2 linked regions of the Callithrix jacchus genome follow. Each later gene encodes a partner of the first gene's protein in a complex. Links are inferred from orthologs where the notes say so. Each region holds a gene or a part of one and is shown on either strand. Other genes may lie near its edges.

Evidence for each region.
Region 2: PPP4R1 (region 1) and PPP4C share a complex: the UniProt entries of both Homo sapiens proteins name them as parts of the PP4 complex. The link is inferred for Callithrix jacchus from reciprocal best matches to the Homo sapiens genes PPP4R1 and PPP4C.

What each region holds. Positions count from the first base shown.
Region 1 is NC_133514.1:53,315,398-53,319,757, forward strand, and holds the start of PPP4R1 (serine/threonine-protein phosphatase 4 regulatory subunit 1), read left to right. Parts: upstream 1-1,334; 5' UTR 1,335-1,364; coding exon 1,365-1,527; intron 1,528-1,968; exon of another isoform or gene 1,969-2,047; coding exon of another isoform or gene 2,048-2,054; intron 2,055-2,259; coding exon 2,260-2,304; intron 2,305-4,360. UniProt on the Homo sapiens protein: Regulatory subunit of serine/threonine-protein phosphatase 4. May play a role in regulation of cell division in renal glomeruli. The PPP4C-PPP4R1 PP4 complex may play a role in dephosphorylation and regulation of HDAC3.
Region 2 is NC_133513.1:29,443,115-29,447,406, reverse strand, and holds the start of PPP4C (serine/threonine-protein phosphatase 4 catalytic subunit), read left to right. Parts: upstream 1-1,442; 5' UTR 1,443-1,527; intron 1,528-1,752; 5' UTR 1,753-1,816; coding exon 1,817-1,914; intron 1,915-4,292. UniProt on the Homo sapiens protein: Protein phosphatase that is involved in many processes such as microtubule organization at centrosomes, maturation of spliceosomal snRNPs, apoptosis, DNA repair, tumor necrosis factor (TNF)-alpha signaling, activation of c-Jun N-terminal kinase MAPK8, regulation of histone acetylation, DNA damage checkpoint signaling, NF-kappa-B activation and cell migration.

The sequences.
Region 1 (4,360 bases):
TACACCTGTAATCCTGGCGCTTTGGGAGACCAAGGCTGGAGGATTGCTCGAGACCAGGAGTTCAAGACCTGCCTGGGCAAAATAGTAGAATCACGTCCCTACAAAAATTTTTTTAAAAATTTAAAAAATTAGCCAGGTGGAATGGTCTGCGCTTTTAGTTCCATTTACTTGGGAGGCTGAGATTGCAGGATCTTTCAAGCCCAGGGCTTCCAGGTTACAGTGAGTCATGACTGTGCCACTGCATTCCAGCCTGGGCTACAAGGCAAAATTCTGCCTCTAAAAAAATTTTTTTTAATGAAAAAAAAAGAGCTGATTTGACTCTTTCTTCTCCCATTTACCCAGAATTGCTAAAGTGGTAGATACTGATGAGGTAGCTCAGCAGGACAGAACTCTCAGGGGTTGAGTCAATCTAGAGACGGATTTCTGTTGATAGTTGTGAATTTCTAACTCCTTTGTCATTCTGAGAGTGTCAGCTAAATTCACAGGACATTCAGCAAAGGAGGAAGATAAATGGCTTTTAGTTTTAATTATTTTATAGTTGAGAAAATTAGATACACACTTCGAGTTATTGGGTCTGATTTTTATTACACCTAGAAATTTCATACAGACTATATAAACTGTCTTTCTCTCTTGTTAGTAGTATCTGATAGGGATTTTTTTTTGGACTAGCTATGTGTAGAACCCATATTATTATACCGATTTAGGAATCTTAGAGGATCTGATTCTTAATGTCCGAATCTTCAATGGCATTAAATGCCAATACATTGTCCTTGGTCAAGACTACAAGGCAAAAAGGAACAAGCTAATTAACTATTTAGAATTCCCTCTTCTAAGAGACCATACGGCCAAAGTGGCATCATGACACAGCTTGGTGTTTTGTTGGTCACTTTAGGAGACCACCATTTTGGAGGCCTTGGGTAGAGCTGGAGACAGAGCCATGGAGGTAGAATCGTGTCGGAAAACCTGGGTTTAGCCCCACTTTGTACTTGGGCGCTTGAGCTAATCGCTTAAGTCATGCAAAACAACAAGACTAATAAAGTCTGGGATACAGACTTGAACACCTCAAGTGCTGCCAAAAGTATTTAAAAGACAAAAGCGAATCATAGGCGCCTTTCCCCAAGCACCTCCTAGACCTTAAGAACCGTGCTAGGTTCCCTACATTCTTCGTTTAATGCCAATAACCCCACGAGGCAGATATCAGCTTCATTCTCCACATGGGTCCCAGTCCCATTAACTAACTGGCTGAATCAGGATCTGATTCAGGTGGATTACCCTCCATGTCAGCTCGGGTTAGCAGGACGTGGGAGTAAAAACCCGGCGCCCCAGCCTTCAGCGTGCTGCACGAGGAAGCTTGCTGGGCAGGCATGACTTTGTCACTCAACCACCCCGCAGCCGGACCCTGGGCTTTGTTAGCAGCCACTTGGCGAGGGCTCCGGGCGGTTGGGGAGGCGGCGCTTCCTCCAAACGGAGGTGGGACCCCGGCCCCGCCGACCTCGGAGCCGCCCCCGGCCCCGGATCGCCGACGACGTACGTGCAGGCCTGGGGATGGGGCGCGGGCGGCCAGCGGCGCGCCCGCCGAGAAGGCTGCGGCCAGCGGGGCGGTGGGCGAGGCCGGTGACCCAATAAAGCGGCCAGGCAGCGGGAGGCCCCACCCGGCCGGGTTCCGGCACTCGCCGCAGGGTCCCGGCCGGCTGCAGCTTGTGCGCCCCTGTCCGCAGCGCTCGGAGTGAGGGCGGCTCGGGCCGAGGGTGTGAGGGCGCGCCGCCCGGCCGGGAGCTGGGAAAGCGGGAGGCGGGAGCACCGGCCACCCGGGAGCCACGCGGAGGGGCCGGCGGGGCGAGGCGCGGCCTGGGGACCCGGCGTCCCCGAGCCGCACCGCCCGCTGCAGGCCCGGGCCCTTGGCCCGCCCCGCGCGCGCGCGCCCCCGCCAGCCCGGCCCTCCTCCTCCCCGCCGCCCCTCCCGCGCGCGTCCACCGGTTACCCGGCTCGCGCCGCTCCATGTAGCCCCGGATCCCCGGGCGGCCGCGGAGGAGGGGGCGACCACAAGATGGCGGGTACGTGGCCCCCTGTTCTCCGTGCGGCGGCGGCGGCTCCCCGCGCCCACCCGTCCTCCGCTGCTGCCCTGAGTGGCGGCCGGGCCGGGGCCGGCGCGGGGTCCTGGCGCGGGGAGGCGCCGCCGGGGCGGGAGGGAGGGCGGCGGGGGCGTCGCGCCGGGCCCCGGGGCGCTGACCGGGCCTTTCTTCTCTCCCCTTGGCGCAGACCTCTCGCTGCTCCAGGAGGACCTGCAGGAGGACGCGGACGGATGTGAGTGGCCCGGCCTCGCGGTGGCCCGGCAGCCCGCGGGGAGCGGTCGGGGAGGGCGGGCGGCGGCGCGGCCTGGGTAGACTAAGGGGACGCTGGGCGAGGGCGGCCCTGGGCGGGCCGGGGTGGCGATTTGGGGGGAAAATCGCGCGTCCGTGAGGAAACGGCGCGCCCTGGTTCCGCTGGGGGAGGGAGACGCCCCGAGTAACGCCCAAGTTAGCTTTCCGCCCTTCCTTCTCCTGGCGACCCCGAATCGCCCGTGGGCTCCGCAGTGGCTAGGCCGCCTGTTTCGGAAGGAGAAGCAGGTGGGGCAAGATTTGAAGTGGGGTTTGGGGTGTGTTTCTGCCCCTGGTGTTCCCCTTGCCCCGTCACTTTAGGAAGGAAGAGACTCGCGCGGGAGGTGTGTTTCCTTGGAGTCGCTCTCCAGGAGCTCCCGGGGGCAGCCTGGGTCCCGGCTAGCCGTCTGGGCTCCCCGACCCCGTTTTGGATCCTCTGAGGATGACATACCTGTCATTTTACTTTGGCTTGTGGCAGTTTTTAGATTACTCCCGGTTTGATTTGTGGATTACAGAAAGGTTAGAAGGTGTGGCCTCATCAGGAATTACTAGGTTTGGAGAGCACATTTCTTTAATGCAGATGTTCAGAAATCACCCAATCCTCCATCAGTGTTAACAGTGCAGCTTTCCTTTGAGGTACTGAAGTTTTTAGAGTTGACCCTTTTATTTTTTAAAACACAAAGTTTTTGACGTTGTTTCCTGATGGCGACGGAATTGATACTTAGAAAGGAATTTTTCTTCTTATATGTACTTTTCTAAGCCTCAGAAAATAACTTGAGTCACGACAGGAAAGACAAAGAATTAGGTAAATTTGTATTGAAAGAAGTGACAAATTGCAGTTAATTTAAAATAGTTTCTATTCATGCTAATCTTACAAAATAGTGATCCATCAAAAAAATCACTCGGTTTTGAGATGCGTTTTAAAAATGAAGAGTGGGCAAAATGTGTAAGCGTAGATCTTGAGATACATAAGGGACCAATTCTACTATGGTTACACAGTAGAATTGTGGTCTGTTTAGTGGAACGCCTACTGGATGCTGTGACTGTGTAATACCTGTGTAAGTAATTCAGAGATGGCTGCAGTTTGAAAGTACTCTCTTAAATACTCTGTAGTTAATCCTTAGCATTGTCTAATGTGGTTCCCTTACTCAGAGTAATCTCAATTTTTAGACTCCTGGTTGTTTTGAGTAAAGTAAGGGGGATTTGCTGTTTAGATGGATTATCTGAAATGAGTAATTTGTCTTTAAAGTAAATGAACCGCATCCAAACTTTTGCCAAGTCTGTATTTTTAGTAGGGTGGCTCTAAACAGCTTTCTTAAAGGGAGCAATACTCATGTAGTGAAGGGCAGCTTTAACATTTTGTTTAATGTTTACTCTTAGGCCACTTCTCTGCCTAATAGTAAGTTTCAGATATTATTTAAGGCAGCTATTGACTTCAGATCTCTTGCCGGGTTAGGATTGGAGAAGTGGCCTTGATTGTGTTATCTCGAGGAGGGCTTTTTATATTTATGTTCGACTTTGTAAATAGAAGATTCATTCATTCAGGAAGTATTTATGACTGTGTGGAGCAAACACTTTTTACTCCTGAAGGGTGAAATGCAGTGTCAGTTTCTTCCATGGCCCCCAAGAAGCACAGTGTAGAGGGGAAGGCATACCTGTGAAAAATTCAACCATGAGTTTAAAGACTCTGCCGGGTACTGGTGATGGAGCTGTAGAAGGATGGGCACAACCCATGCCCTCTAGTGGTTTACTAGCAATCTGAATCTAGGTGTACAGTACACTATCATAGTTATAGACTGGAGCCAGGCTGCTCTGTTCGTCTTAGCAGTGTCTTTTTGGGCAGACTGGGGCAACTCACTTAACCTCCCTAAGCCTCGGTTTTATCATTTGTAAACTGGCATAAGAAATATTACCTACTTCATAGAGTTTTTCATGGATGTATGTGAGTTAGTGCCTGTGAAGCACTTGGAACAATTCCTGGTAAACAGTGATGATTATGATTG
Region 2 (4,292 bases), on another chromosome or scaffold:
GTGGCACATGCCTGTAATCCCAGCTACTCAGGAGGCTGAGGCAGGAGAATTGCTTGAACTTGGGAGGTGGAGATTGTAGTAAGTCGAGATTGTACCACTGCACTCCAGTCTGGGCAAAAGAGTGAGACTGTCTCGAAAAAAAAAAAAGAAAGAAAGAAAAAGCAACTAAGAAATGTTAAGGGGAACATTTTGGAATCACAGAAATCATGCTGACTGAGATACAGGCTTGGCATAGGAAAGGTGGACTCCAATTTGTTAACTTCTGAAGCTGTCAATGGCAAAGATTTCTCTGAAGGCACCGGAAGAGATTTGAATTGGGCTTCCTTCATCCATTGAACAAGTATTAAGTATTTCTATGTATTAACAAGTATTTCTAAATGCTTACCATGCCAGGCCTTATTCTAAGCACTGGGGCTTCAATATTGAAAAAGACAAAGTTGGATCCTCCAAGGATTGTGGTGTCGGATAAATAACAAAAATGTGTAACTTAAAAAAGTGTAACATAAAGTTACAAGGCCTAGTCCCAGCTCGACTTGTTTCCCTAGCTGAAATGGGGATGACCAGGCGTGGTGACTGAGGCCTGTAATCCAAGCACTTTGGGGGGCCGAAGAGGGAGGATCGCTTGAGCCCAGGAGTTCGAGATTGAAGTTAGCTATGATCGCCCCACTGGACTCCAGCCTGAGCAAGAGAGCAAGACACTATCTCTAATTTAGAAAAAAATAAAAGTTGTGGCCGGTCGCAGTGGTTCACGCGCCCATGAACCCAAAGTAATCCCAGCACTTTGGGAGGCCTAAGCGGAAGGATCACCTGAGGTCAAGAGGTTGAGACCAGCCTAACCAATGTGGAGAAACCCTGTCTCTACTAAAAATACAAAACTAGGCCGGGCATAGTGGCTCACGCCTGTAATCCAAGCACTTTGGAGGCCAAGGCGGGAGGATCACCTGAGGTCGGGAGTTCAGGACCAGCCTGACCAATATGGTGAAACCCCGTCTTAAAAAAAAAAAAGAAAACTAGCCAGGCGTGGTGGCACACATGCCTGTAATCCCAGCTACTCGGGAGGCTGAGGCAGGAGAATCGCTTGAACCCGGGAGGCGGAAGTTGCGGTGAACCTAGATCGCGCCATTGTACTCCAACCTGGGCAACAAGGGCCAAACTCCGTCTCAAAAAGAAAAAAGAAAGTTGTCTAAATTTAAACATTTTTATAAAATGAAATGGGAGGGGACTGGTCTAGGGTTTCTAACAGCCCAACATCACCTGCGGCTGAGCCCACAAACACTTCCGCTGGCCTCCAGCTGCCACCGGATTACTCCCGCTCCTTCCCGATTTCAGACTTGGGAAGTGGTGCCGGGGGCGCGAGGAGGGAGGGTGAGGAGCGTGTATGACGCCACATCCGGCGCGCGGCGGAACTGGCTTCCCTTTGCTTCCGCGGCGGGGCCGGAAGTAGAGGCGGCGGCGGCGGCGGCCCAAAGCGGAGGGAAGTCGGGAGGCAGGAAGCGCCCCATAGCCGGAACCGGAGTCGCAGCGGCGGTAATAATGCGAGACCCCTCTAGGCCACCGTCCTTAGCGCGAACCGTGGGATTCGACGGGAGTTAGTGGGGGTCCGGCCAGGCCGTGGGACGCTGGGGGGGTCCCGGGGCCGATGTGAAGGGAGGCGGGGGTGGGGGTGGGGCCGGGCTGGCCCTAGAATCCAGTTGTCCGCTCCTCGCCCCTCACGGACACTCTAATCCGCGGGCTTGTCTTGGCCTTTCCCAGGAGACCCCTGTGCGGTGCGGAGGGGGCGGTGGCCCCGACTCTGACCCGCGCCGGGGGGTGGGCCATGGCGGAGATCAGCGACCTGGACCGGCAGATCGAGCAGCTGCGTCGCTGCGAGCTCATCAAGGAGAGCGAAGTCAAGGCCCTGTGCGCTAAGGCCAGGTGAGCCCGTTGGCCCCACGGAAGGGAGGCCAAGCCGCCGCCCACGGGTTCTGGCCTGGGGCAAACCCAACTGAGAATTTTGGGCTTGCCCCTTCCTGGAAGCTTTCCCAGAGAGGAACGGGATGGGGCCACTGCGCTCGAGGAAGAGCTAGCCTGCTGGGGGAAGACAGCTGGATAAAGACACTTAAAGTATTAGAAGATGTGTTTCCAGTGGAGTAAGAGTGTTACGTAAAGTACTTAGGAAACCAAGGGAAACAAGCCCATCTGTCTGGGGGACAGAAGCTTCTGGGGGTGGGTGGCGAACTGTGAGACAGGCCTCGAATAAGGAGTTGGTAAAAGAGTCAGCAACAAAACAAAGGTTTAAGACAGGAAGGTTAAAGACGCTGTGATTTATAAAAGTCTGAATTCCAACAACCACCCATAAAGGTTGGCGTATTGTACTCATTTTACAGGTGAGGACTGTCATGTTCAAAGTTACCCACAAGTAAGGAGTGGAGTCTGAAGCCAGTTCTTAGTGTCCTGTCCTTTTTCAGGCCATAATGCAAGAAGGTGGATTTGGATCACTCACATTCAGGATGGGACCCTGAGAAATCGTAGCAAGTAAGCCAGGATAGAATTAAGCATGATATGGCCGGGCGTGGTGGCTCACGCCTATAATCCCAGCACTTTGGGAGGCCGAGGCAGGTGGATCACGAGGTCAAGAGATTGAGACCATCCTGGTCAACAAGATGAAACCCCGTCTCTACTAAAAATACAAACATTGGCTGGGCATGGTGGTGTGCACGCCTGTAGTCCCAGCTACTCGGGAGGCTGAGGCAGGAGAATTGCTTGAACCCAGGAGGCGGAGGTTGCAGTGAGCCGAGATCGTGCCATTGCACTCCAGTCTGGGTAACAACAGTGAAACTCCATCTCAAAAAAAAAAAAAAAAGAATTAAGCATGATAGGAAGGCCAGTTTAAAGTTCTGTGGGAAGTAGGATGACCTAAGGCTCTAGGTTTTGGAGTGTGAGATGGCTCTAGGTTTGAATCTGAACTCTGCCACTTACTAGTTGTGTTAGTGATCTTAAGGTGTCTTTACTTGCAAAGCAGAGTTAATAGTACTTAATAAGATGGTTGTGAAAATTCAGTGAGTTGCTGCTTAAGTTTAGCACAGTGTCTTGGTACAGCATACATGCTTGATAGTCACTAGGTGTTCTATTTCTCTTGGATGAGGGCAACGATGAGATGGGCTAAAGCCATCAGGGAAGGCTACTAAATAGAGGTAGACCTTGAAGGATGAAGATAATTTGGCTAGCTGACAGGCAGGACCAGTGAGGGAAGGGCATTCCAAGCAGGACAAGTGTAGCATTGGAGGCCCTGAGAGTGTGAGGAACAGTCAGGGGTTTAATTAATTACCTGCCTTCTCTGGGGAACTGTGTGATTGTGACTTCTACCAGGCTGGTGAATTGCGGCAGAAGAGCCCGCAGAATTACCCTATGTTTATTGAACTATACACCCACTATTGGCCTGGCCCTGTACTGGCGAAAAAACGTCTATTCGTCTCTTCCTCCCAGCAATCCTGAGAGGTTGGAATCATTTGCTCCATTTTACCGAATAGGAAACCATGACTCGTAGAGGCCTGGTGACTTGACTGAGGTCACCCACTGAGGACATGGCAGAGCTCAGTTCTGAATCTGTGGCCCCCAGGCTTTTTGCTCGGCCCCACCTCACAGACTCCCTGCAGCCAGACAGGGCCTCTGAGGGGATCGTGAGCAGGGTGGGCCTCTTTTTCACCCTGTCTGTGGCTTTTCTCTTTTGCCAGCTGAAGGAAACGTCCCTGACCAGACCTGCCCCACCGTGTTTTTAATTGTCCCCTCTCCCTCAGTCCTGATGGGCATTTTTAGGAACTTAAACCTGTTGTTGTCTGGCACTATTCTTTTCCTCTGAAGTCTTATCTCCTGCGCAGGCCTTGGATCAGTGTGGTGGCGATGGTAGATAATGCTTGGATAGCATGCTGGAGTTTGCAGAATAGGAGGAAGTTATATATTCAGTCTCCATGGCTCCTTGTAACAGCCTAAGGAGTAGGCATGACGGGGCTGAGTACTTAACCCCATTTCGTGGAAGAAGAAACAGCCTCTGAGTAGATAATGTCTTGTCCAACATCGTGCAGCTAGTTGGAGGGGAAGTTAGTTGTGCATGCAGGTTTTTGACTGTGCTCTGTGGTCACTGAGAGCCAGGCGGAGGCATTTAGATTTTCATATGGGGTGTGAGGCAGCAGAGAGCTGTGGAAGGCTAACGGGTGGAGAGTCCTGCCCAGTTGAAACTGAGTGGAGCTAGGAGGTACTAGGCCAAGGCCTGAGTTGGTCACTGTTGTCCTGGGCTCAGTTCTGAAGTGGGGCCA